Callithrix jacchus: one gene and its partner. The protein of the gene in region 1 interacts with the protein of each later gene in a pairwise test. Links are inferred from orthologs where the notes say so. Each region holds a gene or a part of one and is shown in the gene's direction. Other genes may lie near its edges. The genes, in order: MBIP and PLEKHF2.

Evidence for each region.
Region 2: the proteins of MBIP (region 1) and PLEKHF2 interact in binary tests that used the Homo sapiens proteins (3 or more experiments, as listed by UniProt). The two-hybrid records come from large-scale screens. The link is inferred for Callithrix jacchus from reciprocal best matches to the Homo sapiens genes MBIP and PLEKHF2.

The regions. Positions count from the first base shown.
Region 1 is NC_133509.1:70,904,744-70,914,180, reverse strand, and holds the start of MBIP (MAP3K12-binding inhibitory protein 1), read left to right. Parts: upstream 1-1,000; 5' UTR 1,001-1,019; coding exon 1,020-1,148; intron 1,149-4,823; coding exon 4,824-4,943; intron 4,944-6,683; coding exon 6,684-6,908; intron 6,909-6,990; coding exon 6,991-7,087; intron 7,088-9,437. UniProt on the Homo sapiens protein: Inhibits the MAP3K12 activity to induce the activation of the JNK/SAPK pathway. Component of the ATAC complex, a complex with histone acetyltransferase activity on histones H3 and H4.
Region 2 is NC_133517.1:32,076,045-32,086,276, reverse strand, and holds the start of PLEKHF2 (pleckstrin homology domain-containing family F member 2), read left to right. Parts: upstream 1-4,393; 5' UTR 4,394-4,548; intron 4,549-5,483; exon of another isoform or gene 5,484-5,622; intron 5,623-10,232. UniProt on the Homo sapiens protein: May play a role in early endosome fusion upstream of RAB5, hence regulating receptor trafficking and fluid-phase transport. Enhances cellular sensitivity to TNF-induced apoptosis.

The DNA.
Region 1 (9,437 bases):
GACTATAAATCGTTCTACTATAAGGACACATGCACACGAATGTTCATTGCAGCACTGTTTACAATAGCAAAGACCTGGAATCAACCCAAATGCCCATTGATAATAGACTGGATTGGAAAAATGTGGCACATATACACTATGGAATATTATGCAGCAATCAGAAATGATGAGTTTGTGTCGTTTGTAGGGACATGGATGAATCTGGAGAACATCATTCTCAGCAAACTGACACAAGAACAGAAAATGAAATACCGCATATTCTCACTCATAGACGGGTGATGAAAAATGAGAACACATGGACACAGGGAGGGGAGTACTAAACACTGGGGTCTATTGGGGGGAAAAGTGTAGGCCCAGCACGGGGGTGGGGGTGGAAGCTGGGGAGGGATAGCCTGGAGAGAAATGCCAAATGTGGGTGAAGGGGAGAAAGGAAGCAACACACACTGCCATGTGTGTACCTATGCAACTGTCTTTCACGTTCTGCACATGTACCCCAAAACCTAAAATGCAATAAAATATTAAAAAAAAAAAAAAGAAAAGATTGCAAAACCCCACAAGTATCTTTATAATAAAGTTATATAATACTTTGTAAAGTTTCAATTCGGTTTTATGTCCTTCTAATTTCAAAGATTGTGGTTGCATATTATTTATCCAGGTTAAATTCCTGTTGGAATGATACTGACAGTGTTTCACATAGTCCCCTACTACCAACATTCACAAGGAACATCCAGGAGTCAAGGTAAGCTTCATGATGCTAACCCTTAAGAGACCACGACTCTAATGACCACCCCAAAGACAGCATTCTAGCCTAGCTTTGGTCTGCAATTCACTTCAGAGCTTCGGGGCAATGCCACAGCTGCAACTGATTGGTGTACGTGCTTGTCAGTCACATACAGAGGGTGGAGCCTCAAAGCCCGGATATAAACGAGACGCCGTGTCGTACGTCATCACCGAGCGACTAAAGCGGAAAAGGGAGGGGGCGGGGCTGTGAGCAATCCTTGGCGGCCTGAGAAGGTGTCATGGCTGCTGCCACGGAGCTTACTCGCCCGAGTAGCGGTGACAGGAATGTGGAGCGAAGATGCAGCCCCAGCCTCTCCCGAGAGGTGCTCTGCGAAATCTTTCGCTCCCTGCACACCCTGGTTGGACAGGTGAGAAGTGGCCTCAGGGATTGAGGGTATGGAAACCATCCGGCCTCTCCCCCTCATTCTTTTCCTCTAGCGGAGGCCAGAGGCAGCGAGGCCTGCCAAGGTCTGAGGTGCGGCCCCTGAAGCCGAGGTCGGGGAGGAGCCCGGGCCGAGCCGTCTCAGTCGGAGTGAGGAGGATGGCGGTACCGGTTGCCAAGTGGTTTACCTTGCAGCTGTCCTCCCCAGCAGTGGGTGAGGATGGTTTAAGTGAAAACCCGGCCCCGAGAGGAGCAGACTTGGAGAGAATGAATGTGGAAAAGCTTAACTGCGGATTTATGAGGCGCCTCGCGCTCAGGCTCCTTTTTCTTCCAACTTACTCAATTACGGGAATTGGTTGGTCAGTAGGCCTGAGATTTATAGAAAAGCGCGCTTATTAGCTTTTTTCAGGGGCTAGAGGGAGTAATTTGTTCTTATGAGTCACTTGGTTTTGTTTATTTCTTCTTTCCTTCGGGCTGTTTTGTGCATCTATTACCCTTTTAAATGGAGAGGAAAGTAAAAGGAATTCATTTAAAATACTTCTAGCGTAAAGTTGGATGAGTTATCCCTCTTTGATGTTGTTTGCAATAGAACGGGCGTTATTTAACTATTATTAAACGGGCGTAGTTTAACTGGCTGATAAATCGCTTTTGCAGAAATGTGGTAAAATTGGTTTTAAATTTAAATGGACTTCTTATTCTCTGTGATCAAGTCACTGTTTCGTTTCATGGTGTAAAATTCAAAGCAGATTTTAAATGTGAAACAGTTTAAAATTATGCTTCTTCACCTGCTTATTAAAAGGAAATATTTTCTATCTTACATAGACCATTTTCTAGCCGTAAAAGTTTGTTTTGGAGCTGGTACTAGTGCCTGTGGACACAGCAGGCATTTGTGTCAAAGACAATGGTAAATTCCTATAAAAATAGAACATTTGTCTGATTTGTGAAAATTATTTTTTTAAAGCCTTGAGTAGATGGAGAATCAGTCTTTTAAAAAGTTACTAAAGTAGTTTTAAAAATCGTAGTATGTTGTGTCTTACAAAGAACATTACTGTAAGTTTAGCGGTTTTATGTAATGACGCAGTTGTTAATGAAATCTGCTAAAAGATACAACTTTTAAACTCAATTGTTTGCCAAGTACTTACCAAAAACATTTTTTTAAACACTTGGGGTCTTTTGTTATTAACATTGTAGTCTTAAGAACCAAAACCTCTAAATGGTTTAAAAGTTAGAGAACTTTTTATGGCGACGTCGGAACTTGTTTATTTTCTAATGTCAAGATAAAAAAAGTTTATGCTCACCTATTAACAGAAGATGGAATATTTAAAAAAAATATTGAGCAATGATTTAAACTTTTCTTTTGAAATATTTTGCATACTGAATTTTTCAAACTCATTAGAAAATTTTAATGATTCAAGTACGGTAAAGTACAATTAAAGAAATGATTACAGTTTACTTATGTCACTTGTCAAAAATGTTGACAGTAAATATTTGGTGACTTTACTGTGACACAGTGAAGGGACCTCCTACACAAGTGTCAAAAATATGATTGTTTCATCAATTAAATGTAAACCACTTTCAAAATACTCTGTATTTTGAGAAATGTTTTTTAAGAGTGAAAGCCAGAGTTCAATACTTATAAAATTGCCCCCCCGAGAAATCAGTATTTTCTTTTGCGACCAGTTTAAAGGATTTTTAAAATGTATGTTGTAACATACCTAACTTATCCTGTGTCATCCCTAAGTATCATTGTATTATTAGATCTCCTCAGTAGGAAACACAAAACTGAATGTTAAAAATAATTTTTTACTTCAGATCACAAAATTTACTAATTTTAACCTTTTTGCTTGCCTCTGGATGGCCCATCTTACCAAGCTGAACAATTACTTATTTTTAGCTTGGATTTTTGTATTAATTTAGTAAAGTTAATGAAACTACATATTTAAATAGTCTATATTAATAGCAGACTAATAGAGATTTTCAAGTGAATGGTTTACTCTTCCAAGTTCTGTAGGGCAAAATGCATAGGATTCATGTGACTAATAATGAATGTCTTGAATGAATAGTTAGATGAATTAGGATAGTTTTATAATTAATTTGTGACATTATGTGGTTTTCTTAAAAGACCAATTATTCTTAATTGCACTTGAAGGTTTATATAATTCTGCTGAATTGAAATGAGAATATGAACCAAACATTAAGACTTATTTTTCTATACGTTATTTTCTCTAGAAAAATGTGATACTTTGCTTTGGTTGAGGATTTGCCTGCTTTATCCCCAAGCTGTATTCATAAGTTTTCTATAATCGAGTATAGATCTCTTTGAAGACTACAAAAGTATATTAATGGGTTACTTCCATACATAATATGGGTTGTTGTGTAGCAAAATCTTTATAGGCATTAAAGTAATATAAATTAATGCATTAACTTTAAAGTCTTAATATGTTCTAATCTTTGCCAGTGCAGCCTACATGAAATTTCATATATCTTTACACTTGTTTAATATGGACTTTTAAATTCTTCTGTTCTTATCTTAAAAGGGCAGTAAATTTCTGTCACATAGTGTTTATTCAATATATTATCTTTTTATTGGTAACCTTACATCTTTTTGATCTTTGTACAGTGATTCATCTTTATAACTCCTAAAATCTGTATTTGAACTAACGTAACAACTTTATTTTGTAGAAAAGATGATGAATTTTGAATTAATTATGTAACTTGTTTCTTTTATGGAATATATTCTTATGCTATCCTGTAAACATATGTCCCTAGGAAAGTTTATGATAGTTCACTTTTATTCACTCAAAAGACTGCAGATGGGTGCTATCACTGTAAAATTTTCATTCATTTTGATAATAATCTTATATTCAGGTTCTTTGTAATTTTCTGGGTATGATTTTATTCTGTTAGATCACCAACTGATACAAATTTCCATATAATGAGCCCTCACATCTTACCATTTAGCAAAAGATCTGGCCATTTCATCCAGTCTGACAACTTATTTCACTATTGTGGAGAAGTCTTTGTTTTTCAGCTTCAGACTTCCATAGCTAACTAATAGTTTTTTATTTGAAATAAACATGTTGCCATTTATCCCTGCTTTTAGTATGTATGAGTAATCTTGACTTTTAAATTAGTTTAAAATTTGGTTAAAGGTGAAAACAATAACAATGTGATTTGGAGAACATCAGAATAGTGATATATATCTGGTATGTATTTGTGTACGTACTTAAAGAGAAAAATGCATGTTAAAACTTTCACAAAACAGTTGTGCTTCCTCTGTTTACGGCTCTGAGCTAGAAGTAGTAGGATTCTGAATAGGGTAAGCCTATTTTGGACTCCATCCAAAGGTTTGTAGATATTGAAGAATCAAAAGAGCCTTCATCTTTTCATCTTTCATGAATGGTTTCACCTCTAAAATGATCCCGTTACACAGACCCAAGAATAGAATTTGAATGACATGTCATTTTGTTTTTGTTTTTTATGAAAATCTGTAGCTTTCGTGGCCATTTAAAATGGTAACTAGGTAGAGCATTTCAGTGTAAAACTTGATAACTTTGAGCAAAATAGACACGTTACTCTTGAAATCCTTTATTTGTGACAATTCCATATGTACAGTTTAATCTTATAATTTTTGTGATGTTGCTGGTTTGCCTTTTTGAAGCTTAACCTCAGAGATGATGTGGTGAAAATTACAATCGATTGGAACAAGCTCCAAAGCTTTTCGGCATTCCAGCCTGCGTTGCTCTTTAGTGCACTTGAACAACACATTTTAGATTTACAGGTAAATTTCTTGTTAGAAATGATAACCCGATATTGAAAACAGAAATTAATTGTGGTTAAATTAGAGTATTTGTCAGTTCTAAACACTCTATTAATAGTGTTGCTAATAAAAGGTTATTTACATCCAGATTGGATCTAAATCTGTTAATTTCAGTAGTGATCAGGACAGTTAAGGGAATATAGCCCAAAAGACTAATGTGGGTATGAGAGTGAATGAATGCAGTTCTGTTCAATTCTAGACCTGCACTGAAAATTCAATACAGTTCCATCTATGGTGGGTTATAATTAAGCAATAAGACACGGCAGGTGTGTGTCATGCTATGATAATGATTCCATGCCTTGGGTGAGTTTGGAGGCTCATGGAGTGCTTTCAGTGGTTCAAGAAGGGGCATTATCCCAGCATGACACATCCTGGAGTGTCTATTGCAATTAAACAGTTTCAGCATAGTTTTTAAAAAGAAAGTAATTTCTGTGACATTAATGTCTCATCTTAGTAAGTAGCCAGTCACTGTTTTCTTTTTCTTAACAGTTTGAAATAATTTATTCTTTATATTAGAAGCTAATATTGAACTGGTATTTATAATAGCATTGTTATATTTTTAAGTATTTCATGTTATGACCTTGCTAGTTTGTAATTGAACATCTTTCCAATTATAATTGATGTAAGTTTGCAGTTTATCTCTAATTAAAGTGTAAAATGTAAAGTGTCAAAAAGATAAGTGGAAGAACTGTTTGGATTGGTCAGTTTACTGTGATTAAGATGTTATACGGTTTCAGGAGAGTATTTGGTATAGCAAACAAGGGAAGCAAAATTGTGGATATGAAAAAAATAATTGGAACGTTATTAGTGTTAGTGTGTTTTGACTAATGGAATAGGCATTAATTTTCAGCTCTCCATTTATTGACTTTGTGGGAAATTTTAACTGTTTCACGTTAAAAGTAATAGTTAACCCTGTTTTCAAAGGGCAGAGCAGTGAGCTATAGAACTCAAATGAGGCCTAATTGTGTGGAGTGGGGGAGGAGAACAGTAAATGGATAATATCATTTATATTCTACAATAGGGGTTTTTTTCCCCCTGTAGTATAGTGATAGGCCTCTGCCTGTTTTCTGCCATAGATTTTTTTTTCTTGTTAGTTTTGTTTTTTAAAATTTAATCTTATGGCCCAAGAAGATATTTGCCATGTCAGGAAAAGTCTTGAGTGTTCACTCAGCCTAACACCTATATATTTCCTGTCTATGCTTCCTCATTCACATTGGCCAACTGCAGTTTCAAGTGGAGAATCTCCAGTGATACAGTGATAATGCAGGGCTTTGCTGAGTGAGAGCACTGGCTCTCCTGTTAAGGAGGAAAAATACTAAGCCTTAGTGTTCTGAGGAGGCATTTGAATGACATGTTAATTAAGTGGCATTGGTGCCAGAGGCTGAAGGCTTTGATTTGGCACAAAATAAAAGATAAGTGACAGAATGATTCTCTCAAAGAAAATTTTAAATTTCCTTAGGTTTTCTAATCTTTTTTCTTTTTTCCTCTCTTCTTTTAAAATTTATAGCAAATGATAATGGTTACAATAGCAAAGAATAGTAAATACTTATATGAAGTCAGATCTATGTGTCCTGGTGTACTAACTTTTTATATTTAGTAATATTAAATATTTAATTTAGCAGAAATTTATGTAAATATATTAAATGTGTAATTAATTTGGGTCAGTTTGAATCTCAGCAGATGGAATTGTGTTGTTCTCAGCCTTTTTTAGCAAAACTTCAGTCTCCAGTTAAAGAGGAGAATACAACCGCTGTTGAAGAGATAGGAAAAACAGAAACGGGGAACAAAAATGAAGTAAATGACAAATTTTCCTTTGGCGACCTACAAAAGGAAGAAAAGCACAAAGAATGTGATTTAGGAGATGTGAAAAAGACACAGATCCATTTTGATCCAGAAGTAGTTCAGATAAAGGCTGGAAAAGCAGAAGTAAGAAGTTTTTTTGGTGGGGATGAGAGGGTATTACTTTTAAAAATCTTATGTTTACACTGTTAAAACTTGTTGTTTGTAGATTGACAGACGAATATCTGCATTTATTGAAAGAAAGCAAGCTGAAATCAATGAAAACAACGTCAGAGAGTTTTGCAATGTTATTGATTGTAATCAAGGTAACTACCTAGAAATTAATTTTCATAGGATTTTAAGTACAATTTTTATAGTTGCTCTAATCTTTTATTTATTTTTTAAATGAATGGCTTTAAGAACACAATTCAGTTTATTTCACAGGTTTAGTTAGTAACTAAGGCAGTAGACTTTTCTTCTGCTTAATAATAGACTATGTTGCAAATTGGTTTTGATTTTGGTTACACAAAAATCAAATAAATGCAAACATTAAAAGTGTTTACCACAGGTGAAGATTATTTTAAAGTTCCTTTAGGAAATGGTGGTGAGTTATGAAAGACAGGGTTGATCAATCTCAATAGTAAAAGGAACTAAGCTGTATGAATTTCAAACCTATAAATGTACTATGAAATCATGATGTTAATATATGTGAACTTAGTAAAGTTAATATTCCTCCAGAGGGAACAGTTTTCTCACTACCCCTGAGCTGTTTGAAATGTCCTATGTCACAATACAACCAATTTATCATGAAGACCATGATGTCTTGCTTTTTTCCTTTCTGTCATAGTGCATGCATTTGCTGCTTTTCATCAGATTCTCCTTTACCTCTTCACTTGATGCTACAGTACATTTACAAATCTGCAGGTACGCTGCAGAATACAAAATATTGTAAAGCAGTGCCATAGATCATACTCAGTCATCATAGTAATAATCAGAACAAGTAGTTCTTAGGAAAAATTATGGAGAAGAGTTCATATGGAATGAACATTTTTCTTGTTGCCTCTAATATCTCATGGCTAAAATTATTATGAACATATAATTGACAGATGAACCTAGAGATGACTCATATCACATTGGTACACTGATTCTCTTAATAATGAAATAATATAAACTGGTCCTGAATTTAGGTGTGTGCTACTATTAACATTATACATGTGCATATCTAAATATGGTATATTTTCTTGTAGCTTTTCAGAATAGGTGCAACAATGACAAAATCTCAGGTACTACAACCAACTGCAAGCGACTATGAGAAAGGATTTGTTGAGAGAGCAAGCACATGTGTCACTAATGTTATTCCTCTGTTCTCCCTGCTAACTCTATTATTATAAACCACCAGGGGATAGAAATTGACAAGAATTGAAATGCTCAGCAGGATTCCTTGGCCCATTCAATTCCTTGCTGGCTCAAAACAGTGCTAGCAAGAATTGCTGTGGAGAGTGGCTAGCACTCATACATTCACACCATGCTGAATTTCTCACTGATGGGTCAGTTAATCTATATGTTTGGAATATAGTTCTGGAATAGATGATAGCTTCTTTTTTTAACCCTTAGCCCCATGAAATGGTAGGAAGAGAATGCAAAAGGATGACCCTTTAAGCATATTTTGAGGTACATCCATAAAAAAAAAAAAAAGAAGAAGAAGAAAAGATGACTAGTCTCTAGGTATAAAAGCTAAGTGGATTTGGAATTTTATTCATACTATTTGATTTATCAGCAGAATTACTAAGTTAAGTTCAACTGAAAAAAAAATGTATTTTAATATAGTAGTGCATTCCTCTTAATAACCTATGAATTTAACTTAAATATAAGCAGAGGCATTTTTAAAATTGAAATTCCATGGGGGAGAAAAAAGAATTTTTTAAAATAATCTCAACAGCCATTTCTTAAAAAATATTCAAGGGAATTTTACAGGATATTTACTGCCAATGTGTGGTTTTTAAACATTATTTCAAACACAAGAGTATATTATTACTATGTAGTATCATATATATACTATATATTAATATATAACAATTATGTTAATATTAGTCATATTCTATGTTAACATTCCAATTTTCCCCTTTTGTAATTTATGCATTGTTATCTAATTTCAAAGAAACTATACTTTTCAGCAAGTGGTAGGATAGAAGTAGATGACTTTTGTGATGAGGGGATTTTTTATTTTTATTTATTTTTATTGCATTTTAGGTTTTGGGGTACATGTGCAGAACATGAAAGACATTTGCATAGGTACACACATGGCAGTGTGTTTTGCTGCCTTCCTCCCCTTCACCCACATTTGGCATTTCTCCCCAGGCTATCCCTCCCCAGCTCCCCCTCCCGCTTGCCCTCCCCTCTTCCTGCCAATAGACCCCAGTGTTTGGTACTCCCTTCCCTGTGTCCATGTGTTCTCATTTTTTATCACCCACCTATGAGTGAGAATATGCGGTATTTCGTTTTCTGTTCTTGTGTCAGTTTGCTGAGAATGATGTTCTCCAGATATATCCATGTCCCTACAAACGACACGAGCTCATCATTTTTGATTGCTGCATAATATTCCATGGTGTATATGTGCCACATTTTCCCAATCCAGTCTATCATCAATGGGCATTTGGGTTGGTTCCAGGTCTTTGC
Region 2 (10,232 bases), on another chromosome or scaffold:
TTCACTCTATCTTTTCTTTCCACTCCAACCTTGTCCCCAATTGGAAGATTTCCATGATAACTTTGGTCTTCAAATCCATGAGGAACATGTGTTTATTTCTCTTCACATCCACAGTACTCCATTTCTGGGAAAGTTGAATGGGTATCAGAACTCTTCTTGTAGGAAAGCAGAGACAAGAAGAAACTAAGGTGAAGATATGCTGGAGATCATATGGCAGAGAAACAACAGGAGAAAAGCTCAGTAAACCGAAAGTGGGTGCATTAACATCAGAAAGCTATTTAATTTAGTGTTTTCCAGATCAAAATTTCCTTTCTAACACTTAGGAATTTTGACCCTCATTTTCGAAACAGACCTTTGCACCAAGTCCTGTGGTCTCTGGCTGTGAGCCTCTCTGTCTCTTGCCTCTGTTCCCTGTTTCTTGGCTGTGGTGCCACTTAGTTTCATTTCCAAATTTTGGTTTCCTTTCCTAAAAGATGGCCTGCCTTACGTGTGAATCATATGCAATAGTGATTGTATGGGCTGAGGCCCAACTGAAGTGGAATGGGGAAACTGCTCTGCAAGGAGCACGGACCCTTCTCTGAGGCCTTCTTGGTCCAGCTACCTTCTCCTCTATCCAGTCATGCCTGCCTATCTTCGTGCCCACCCGCCTGGTGGCTGAACTTGAGCTAAGAAGTGGACAAACATGTGGGTGAAATCAGGTAAAAGTTAGGTTTGGAGCCAGGCACGGTGGCTCACACCTGTAATCCCAGCACTTTGGGAGGCAGAGAAGGGCGGATCATAAGGTCAGGAGTTTGAGACCAGCCTGGCCAACATGGTGAAACCTTGTCTCTACTAAAAATACAAAAAATTAGCCGGGCATGGTGGCGCATGCCTGTAACTGCAGCTACTTGGGAGGCTGAGGCAGGAGCACTTGAAACCAGGAGGCAGAGGTTGTGGTGAGCTGAGATCATGCCACTGTACTCCAGCCTGGGCAACAGAGCAAGGCTCTGTCTCAACTAAATAAATAAGTCAGTCAGTCAGTCAGGGCTGGAGATGAGTGGAGGGGATAGATTCATACAGAGTCAAAGGGAGATAAGGTGAGGAGTGGGATTGGGTGGCTGCAACTGAATGACAGTGTGTGCACATAGCATTTTTCCTGTTTGTGAACAGCCCTTGTGCGTTCTCAACTTCAAGAATATAAAGTCATTGAAGAGGCATAAAGATGTTGGAAAGACCTTTGCAAGAATTGGCCAGGGACCTGTGAATCAGACATGTCAAGGATTAATATACCATTTCCTGCATTTTCACGAGTGGTAAAAATTTATATTTTCTTAGTAATTTCAACAGCAGCAACATTCACTACTACTACAACTATTGCCAACACATCCTCTGTTTATTGAGCATCTATTATTTGCTAGGTGCCGTGCTGTGTGTTGTACTTATATTATCACTAATCTTTATAATCCTAGGGAATAGGGATTGTTTTCCTCATTCTATACATTTTACAAATAAAGAAATTGAGTTGCAGGCTGGGTGTGGTGACACACCTATAATCCCACACTTTGGGAGGCTCAGGTGGGTGGATCACCTGAGGTTAGAAGTTCGAGACCAGCCTGGCCAACATGGTGAAACTCTGTCTCTACTAAAAATACAAAAATTAGCTGGGTGTTGTGGTGCATGCCTGTGGTTCCAGCTACTCAGGAGGCTGAGACAGGAGAATCACTTGAACCCAGGAGGGAGAGGTTGCAGTGAGCTAAGATTGTGCTACTGCACTCCAGCCCCAAGTGACAGAGCAAGACTCCATCTCAAAATAATAATAATAATAAATAAATAAATAAATAATAAATCGAGGAGCAGAGCAATTAAGTCACTTACACAGGGTTAGACAACTAAAAACTTACAAAATCAGATTTTGAACCTCCAGGTCTATCTGGCTTTAAACTCTAAAAGTTTTTATTTTATTTAAAAATAAAATTTTAAAACAAAATCATGCTTAAGTTTCGTGTTTTTACATGGGGATATAAATGACATATTTATGCCAGTATTCTGGAAAAATATGTTGCTATTTATTTATTTAGAGAAAGAGTTTCACTGTCGCCCAGGCTGGACTGCAGCGGTGCGATCTCAGCTCACTGCAACCTCTGCAATTCTCCTGTCTCAGCCTCCTGAGTAGCTAAGACTACAGGCTTGTGCCACCACGCCCAGCTAATTTTTATATTTTTAGTAGAGATGAGGTTTCATCATGTTGGCCAGGCTGGTCCTGAACTCCTGACCTCAGGCTGTCTGCCGTGGCTTCCTAAAGTGCTGTGATTACAGGCATGTGCCATCATGCCCAGCTAATTTTTGTATTTTTAGTAGAGATGAGGTTTCACCATGTTGGCCAGGCTGGTCTTGAACTCCTGACCTCAGGCTGTCTGCCTTCCCAAAGTGCTGTGATTACAGGCATGGCTTGCTTTTTAAATAGAGTATGTTGTTTTATAATGTACCTAACATACTAGGTATAATAGGTATGTGTATATATAAATATGCACCATATATATTATGCATATAATTGTGTGTGTGTGTGTGTGTGTGTGTGTGTGTGTGTATGACTGGGTCTTGCTATGTTGCCCAGTCTGGATTTGAACTCTTGGCCTCAAATGATCCTCCAGCCTCAGCCTCCTGAGTAGCTGGGTATATTATATATGTAATATTTTTTATTTCACACTTATGTAGCACTATATATGTACATTATATATGTAATAATTTTATTTCACACTTGTAAAGTGTGACAGGTATATGCTTTACATATATTAATTCATTTAATCTTCATAACTCTGTGATATACTTTTATTATCTCCATTTTACAAGTGAAAAAACCAAAGTCATATTTGGATGTGCCCTAAGATACAGGTTGTTAGAGGCAAAGCCAATCATGCCCTTTACTTAAGCTAAATAAGTACATGGGAAGTGGGGAGGGCAAACATTTTTACTAATAACAGTGACCAAAAATATTTGATGACTAATGCTCTAGGCTTGACCCGAGACCACCAGTCAGACATAGCAATTCCTACTTTCAAGATTTAAAAGGATTTTAAGCATTATTTAGTCCTGCCTTTTCTCCACTGATAGATACTGCTGTGCAGGCAGAGGTGAATGAGGTAGAGTGATATACAGACAAGAGTCTTGGAGACATCTGTACTCGGAAAACTGTGTATGTGTGTATGATCATACAACTTTCCCCATTAAAAAATGTTCATCTTTGCCAATTTTGTTCTAATTATTAATTAAAAAAAAAAGACTTGTTTGTTTCAGAGACAAACTCTATTGAAAGAGAGGAGGATGGGAGGCAGAAGGCCTGGATGAGAATCCCAGGTGGAAGAGCAGAGAAACCCAAGCCTGCTCTCTTCCCTGGGTGCTCATCCACGTGCAGCTTGGCTGGTAATGGCTCTAATTCAATGGCAATCAAACCCAGGATAAAACAATTTTCTGAAATAATAGATGAACAAGAAACATAAAATTTACCAAAACCTAATTTCCACCTACACACACACTTAGTTTAAAATAAGTATGCTGTTCTCCCCACCTCGTCCCCATCCTTGGTTTACCCTAAGCAACTTTGTTACCTTTCCATACACCCACCAGAGCGCTTAGCTAGCAGATTAATTAGGGCACATTTAACCTTACATACTATGCTATAATTACAGTTTCTAGGTATGTGAAGTAGGTTGAGAGGTTTTGTGTAGTCAACGTTTTGGAAAGACCAGAATTCTAAAGTATGCACTTAAAAGAAATGGCTGGATGGAGCACGTGGGGTATGTGTGTGTCGCCGCAGTTCCCTTAGTTTCAAGAAGAGGGATTTTAGGTAAAACAAAGGGAAAGTGAGACGGAAAGGATTGCCCTGCTAAATGAGAGCGGCAAAAGCCGGTTCCGACGCCTTTGGGCATCTAAATCCAAAGCCTGCCTTTCCCGTTCTTCAGTTCCCTGGGGAGGGCTGTTGGGGGTGGGAGGTGTCTTTCTTCCATTCTTCCACTCTCCCTAAAAACTTCGTAGACAGTTGACCAATACTTAACTAAAGGCTTATCGGAGTCAGGAAAGCCAGGTAGGGCACCCCACGTGGACCTCAACGCATCGCGGAAGCACGTCCCGACATCACACAAGAACAAGCTCCACCCGAGGCAGTTCCCGGGTGGGTGTGGCCTCCGTCGAAGGCCCCGCCCCTAGAGCGCGTCGTTAGGGGCGGGGCGAGGGAACTGGCGAGAAAGGGCGGGGAGCGAGTGGTGTGGGTGTGCTCGTGCCCGCGCACTCGTGCCCGGCGTGTGGGCGAGGGCGCGCCCGTGCGCGCGCAGGGGAGAGGCCAATCTAGGCTGCCGTTGTGGAGTTCCACTGGAGGGGCGGGTGAGTCACCTGCGAGCGGCTGCGCTGGCGGCCCGCCAGTCGCCCGCCGCGTCTGGATCGCGCTGGCTGCGCGGGACTGCGGACCGCACACACCCTGGGAGGCCCGGGCGGGGAACGGGCAGAGTCTGAGCCCAGCGTCCGCGACGAGGAGGAATCGGACCTACGCTTTCGCCGCCTTCCGCGGCCGTCGGGGTAGGTGAAGCCTGGGTGGGTGGTCCGCCGGCTCCTGGCTGGCCGGGAGGGGAGACGCGAAACTTTCCCGGCGCTTCCTCCCGCGGTCCCGGAGCCGTCGCGGCGCCGGGAGGTGTCGTCGTCGCGGGCGGTGGCGGCGGACGCCATGTTGGGGTCTGTGAGAAACGGGGCGCTCCCGGCCGCTCCCCTCGCGCCCGGGCTGGCTCCCTGGCCAGTCGCCGCCACCGTCCCGCCAGCCCTGGAGAGAGCTGCGCCCGCCTGTAGGACGCCGCCGCCGCCGCTGCGAGGGAACGGGGGCCGGCGGGGAGGGTTCTGTCCACCGATCTGCGGGGCAGGGGCCGGCGGACGCGGGAAGAAGCCCCCGGGCCGGGCGGGAAGTTGTAGGGCCTGAGGTCGGGGGTCCGGGACACGGCCAGGGTCGTCTCAGGGTCCCAACAATTTTCTGGCCGAAAAGTTTGCAGGGTCTGCACATCGGGGACGTTGTAAACTGAATTACATATTTGTATGTCACTTGGGAGAAAAAAAATGGCCTTGCAGAACTTGCTCTGATAGAAGCGATGGTTTATTTATTTGGAGCCTTTAAAGTTTTATGATCCTTTGCCGATTTTATTTTTCTTTCTAAAAACGTGATTGAAGGCCGAGAGCGCGCTGCTGGTGCGGCTTGAATAGCCTTGTGCGCTCTCCGTACATTCCAGCAATAACTGGAGTGTGCGGTGGAAGTGGGTATGAAGGTTACGGACACCTAACCCCTCCTCGGTAATTCATAGACTCACCAAACACGTTGTTAATAAATGCTTTTTTTGTGGTGTTGTGTAGTACGTTGCTGAAGAGAGTCATTAGAGAAAGATTTAGACACAAACTTTGAGAGTCTTAAAGGCATGTGTTCTCTTAAGAATGAGGTGATCTTGACAGTTTGGTTTTTTTCCTCCCTTTAGTGTCTTAAGAGTGAATGCCTACGGTGTTTTGAGCATTTACCTCTTTTTTTGATACTCTGGTACCTCGTGGGGTCTTCACGTTCATTCAGTATTAATGAAGGCTTCAGTGTAATCTCTTTGGGTCCCGACCACACACGAGGTGAGTGGTATTAACCTTTTTATTTGGAACGTACACGTAATCGGCCTCAAAACTAGTGTAGTGACTAAGGCATCAAGAGAAAAGATTCAGCCTCAGTAAATAAATCTAAATTATTTTTAAATAAAGGCATCTTTAAAATTCTGTTTAAATGAATTGAAAAGGCTCTTAAGCACCAATACAATAAGCCCTAAAACACCAAATTCTTGGAGAATTTTTTTACTTTTTAGATCTAAAAATACAGCTTTTGCTCATATTTGATTGCCAATTTCTTTTTACTTTTTTCCCTCCCTCACTCACTCCCTTTCTTTCTCCCTTTCTTCCTTACTTTTCCTTCTTTTCCTTTTGTGAGACAGGGTCTCGCTCTGTCGCCCAGGCTGGAGTGCAGTGGTGTCATCTCAGCTCACTGCAGCCCTGACCTCCCGGGCTTAGGCCATCCACCTCAGCCTCCTGAGTAGTTAGGACTGCAGGTGCGCACCACCATGCCTGGCTAATTTTTGTTTGAATTTGTAGAGACAAGGTTTTGCCATGTTGCTCAGGCTTTATTGCTAACTTCTGTTGTTGATAAAAATTCTTTTAGTTTTGCTTCATTGTCAAGTAAATGCCATTATACTACTTATTTATTTTTATGGATGAACGATTTCTTAGAATTGAAATGACTTAACTAATTTCACAAATGTAGCAGCCAAGCTGGTATTTAACTGAGATCTGAGTCTGAAGCCTTCTTATTTTTCCTATAGCATAACTTTGTAAGATACATAACTAAGTCCTCTGGAGCAATCTGTCCATCTTGTTTACTGTTAGCATTGTTCTTTCTGATTTGAATTTAGTTCTTCAGTATAAGCACTTATTTCTCAGAGAGCTGATTTACAAGTGGTTCTTGTGATGAAATTTTTCCTTAAAAATATTTAGGCCTATATTCTTTGAAGCCTTTTCTGCTGTGTTCTCTCATTCCACTCCCTCTCTCTCCCCAGAAATCAATTTCTCCCATGGTATTACTGTAAATGCCGCATAGATCTGTCATGACATCTCTTTGACAGCAGGCAACACATCGGGTCTGATTTGCCTCTTCATTCCCTGCATGCCAAGAGCATAGCAGATGCTCAGGAAAGGTTTGAATGGATGAGTGCACATATGTTTGTTCCTTGTAAATTTGCTTCATGAATTTCTTATGAAATCATAAATTCCATGAGCAGCATAGTTAAGTCTTCTTTGTAGTCTTTTTCCCATTACATGCCATCAGCTCCATTAAATCCTCAAACTGGTTTATTGTGTGTGTGTGTGTGCGCGCACGTGCATATATGTATGTATTTTGTTGTGGTGGTGGTGTTGAGAATTTAGTAACTGAGTGAATTTTGGCCTGGGGAAACTTACTAAGTTCCATAATATTTATGCAACTTAAATATTAATGAAATTTCTAAGTAGATAATGGATTAAAGTATAATTACTGATGTATGAGAGAGAAGCCATGGATCATCAAAGGGATTATAATCATAATTTTAAGTGTGATTGAATTTATTTGAACTTGATGGAAATATTGTTAATGCTTGAAAATTTTGAAGGTCATATTTATACATTTAAGCTCTTGGAACAAATCTCATTATAGCTTTATCAATTATTGTTTTGCCAGAATTGTGTTAGAATTTTTTAAATGCCTTGCTTAATAGGAAGTATATGAATTTTATTCTTCTATTGTAAGTTTATCTTTGCTGAACCAGCTTTGTACATGAACTGCCTGCTTAATACTTAAAAACAAGGTATGTGTTAAGTGAATAAAAAATACTTCATGAATACGCTTTCACAGTGTTACTTTAAGTTGCAAAACTTCTCTAGGTTAAGGTGTTTTGTAATTCTGTAATGACTGTAGAATTTAGGGTTTTATTTCCTGCCCCCACCCAAGGTAACTTTCTCCCCTGTCAAACTGTAAACCACAAACTACTGTGCTCAATTTAGGGAGGTCCTGGGAAGAGAATAAAAGGCATTCAAATAGTTGCTGTGAATGTACTGGAAAGAGAGCAAGTTGTAGGATGGACTGGAACAAATAAACCTCGTCCTGGCTCAGCTCCTTGCTAGCTTGTGACTTGAACAAGCCACTTCACTTCTGTAAGCTTCACTGACTCATTTGTGAAATGGGCCTCAGAAAAAGTTGCCTCAGTGATATCGGATCACCCAAGATTCGATGTTTGTGGAATGGCCTGGAATATGATAGTAGGTATTATTTTAACAAATGAACAGAGTGGCAGTGAACTATATAGAATTATATTCTCTTTTAAAGGGAAGCAGCCTGTAGAAATACCTAGTTCGGTTTTTACCTTGGCTGCACATTAAAATCTCCTGAGGGGCTACTTAAAAATACTATTGCCTGGATCCCACCCCAGGACAAATAAATCAGAATTACTTGGTTTGGGGACAGAACATAGATAATTTTGCCTCTTTTTTAAAAGCACCCTGATTTTAGTGTTCAGTCAGATGGAGAACCTTTGATTTAACTCAATCTCTCATCTCCTTTTTTATTCTCTTCATTTCGTAGTTGTATAAAATGAAGAGGGGTTTGTTTAGCTGCTAGCAAAATTCCTATTAGGCAGGCTGGAAAGGATGTATTAAATATTTGCAGCTGAGGAAAGCAAAGTGCATAGAGGTTAAGTAAAAGTTACAGTCATTTCTGGCCAGAATGGCCACATTTGCATCTGTACTTCACTAACTCCAGTGACCCTTACCCCTACTCTACATCAGCAGGCTGCAGGTTATGACCATGTTACTTAATCTTGTCATCATTCGGAACCATTCTACCTCACGTCTTAAACCCTGTGGCCAGATGGCAATGCAAGGGTCTGTTTTGTTTCTCTTTTCTGTCATATCTGGTGAAGCAGCTTTTTGTCCTTATTGTCACCTCCAGTCCCTCCTAGGCCATTAGTTGTCTTCCTTCTTTCCAACCTTGAACTCTGTAGTTTATATTCTCACCATGAACTCACTAGACCACATAGTACCTCCTCTCCTTGATCTTTGCTGGGTATAACTGGTCAATTTGCTGCTTTTGTCCCTGCCCCACACTCCCCTCAGAAGTCACACTTCTGGTGCTTGTTACATATTTGTTTTCTACTGTTTGTTTTCTGCCTGCTGTGTACTAGTCACTTTCTAATTCAAGTTGACTCATTTTCTCTGTTGCTTTTTCACTCCAGTCAGGTTGCTAACCCCAGTCTTGAAACACTTGACTTTGAGCAGATTACCTTGCTTCCTTCTAAAATGATTAAGATTTTATGATGTGAATTTTCTATTTTCTTCTTTGCACCAACTTTTCATCTTTTTTTCTTCGCATTTTCAGAAGTGGAACTATTTTGAAAGCTTTATAGTTGTTTCATTTAAACAACAGTTGGGGGAAAATAAAGATTTTTGTGTTCTTTGCTCATATTTTTATTAATTGTACATATAACTGTATTTTGCTTTTTATATTTATATTTTTCTACACATTATTCTTTGTTCCCAAACTAAAAGCGTTTTTTTTTTTTTTTTTTTTTTTTGTCTATGAGGGAATGTGTTCATCACAAAATAATTAGGCATATCAAAATATTATTAGTCTAGTACTTAGAGATAACCAGTACTAACTTTTTGGTGTTTATCAACCACTTTTAAGTAACAAATAGGCTTATACTATATGTGCTGTTTAAAAACTTTTATTTAATAAAATGTTTTAGCAGTTTTTCCACATTAAATATTATGTTTTTTTAAAAGTTTCCTAAAAATTCATGGATGTACCAAAATTTATTTAATTAGTCTCCTATTGATAAATATTTAGGTTGTTTCTAGCTTTTCAGTATCATAGACAGAGCTACAGTGAACTTCATGTGAACAACTTTGTACATTGTTAATTTTTGTATATATTATTGGAAATAGTAATGTTGTTTAAACTTCTTAAAGCATTTGTATTGCCAAAAATGGCATTTAGAAACGTTGTTCCAGTGTGTATACAGTATTGTCAAGAATATGAGGCCCATTTTTAACCACATTTTAGAGAGATGAATAATATGTTAATATCATTTGAATTTTTATTTGATTGGGACTGAGAGTCATTTTTTAAATTTATTGATTATTTTTATTTGTTGTAGTTGGTTTCTTTTTTTTTTTTTTTTTTTTGAAATTGACATTTATTTCTTATTTTTCTGTTGGGATGTTTTCCTTTTTTTTTTGTAAATTTACAGGAGCCCTTTGTATATTAAAAATGTTGGCTGGGTGCAGTGGCTCACGCCTGTAATCCTAGCACTTTGGGGGGCCAAGGTGGGCAGATCAGATTGCTGGAGTCCAGGAGTTTGAGACCAACCTGGGCAATATAGCAAAACCCCATCTCTACAAAATATATAAAAATTAGCTGGGCATGATGGCATGCCTATAGTCCCAACTACTCAGGAGGCTGAGGTGGGAGGATTGCTTGAGATCAGAAGGTGGAGGTTGCAGTGAGTGGAGATTGTGCCACTGCACTCCAGCCTGAGTGACAGAGCAAGACCCTGTCTCATAAATAAATAAATGAATAAATGAATGTTGACTTTTTGCCATGTAACTTTAATATTCTTCCCCCAATGATGAAGTTTTAGAAGTTTAGGTAGTAAAATTTTACGATA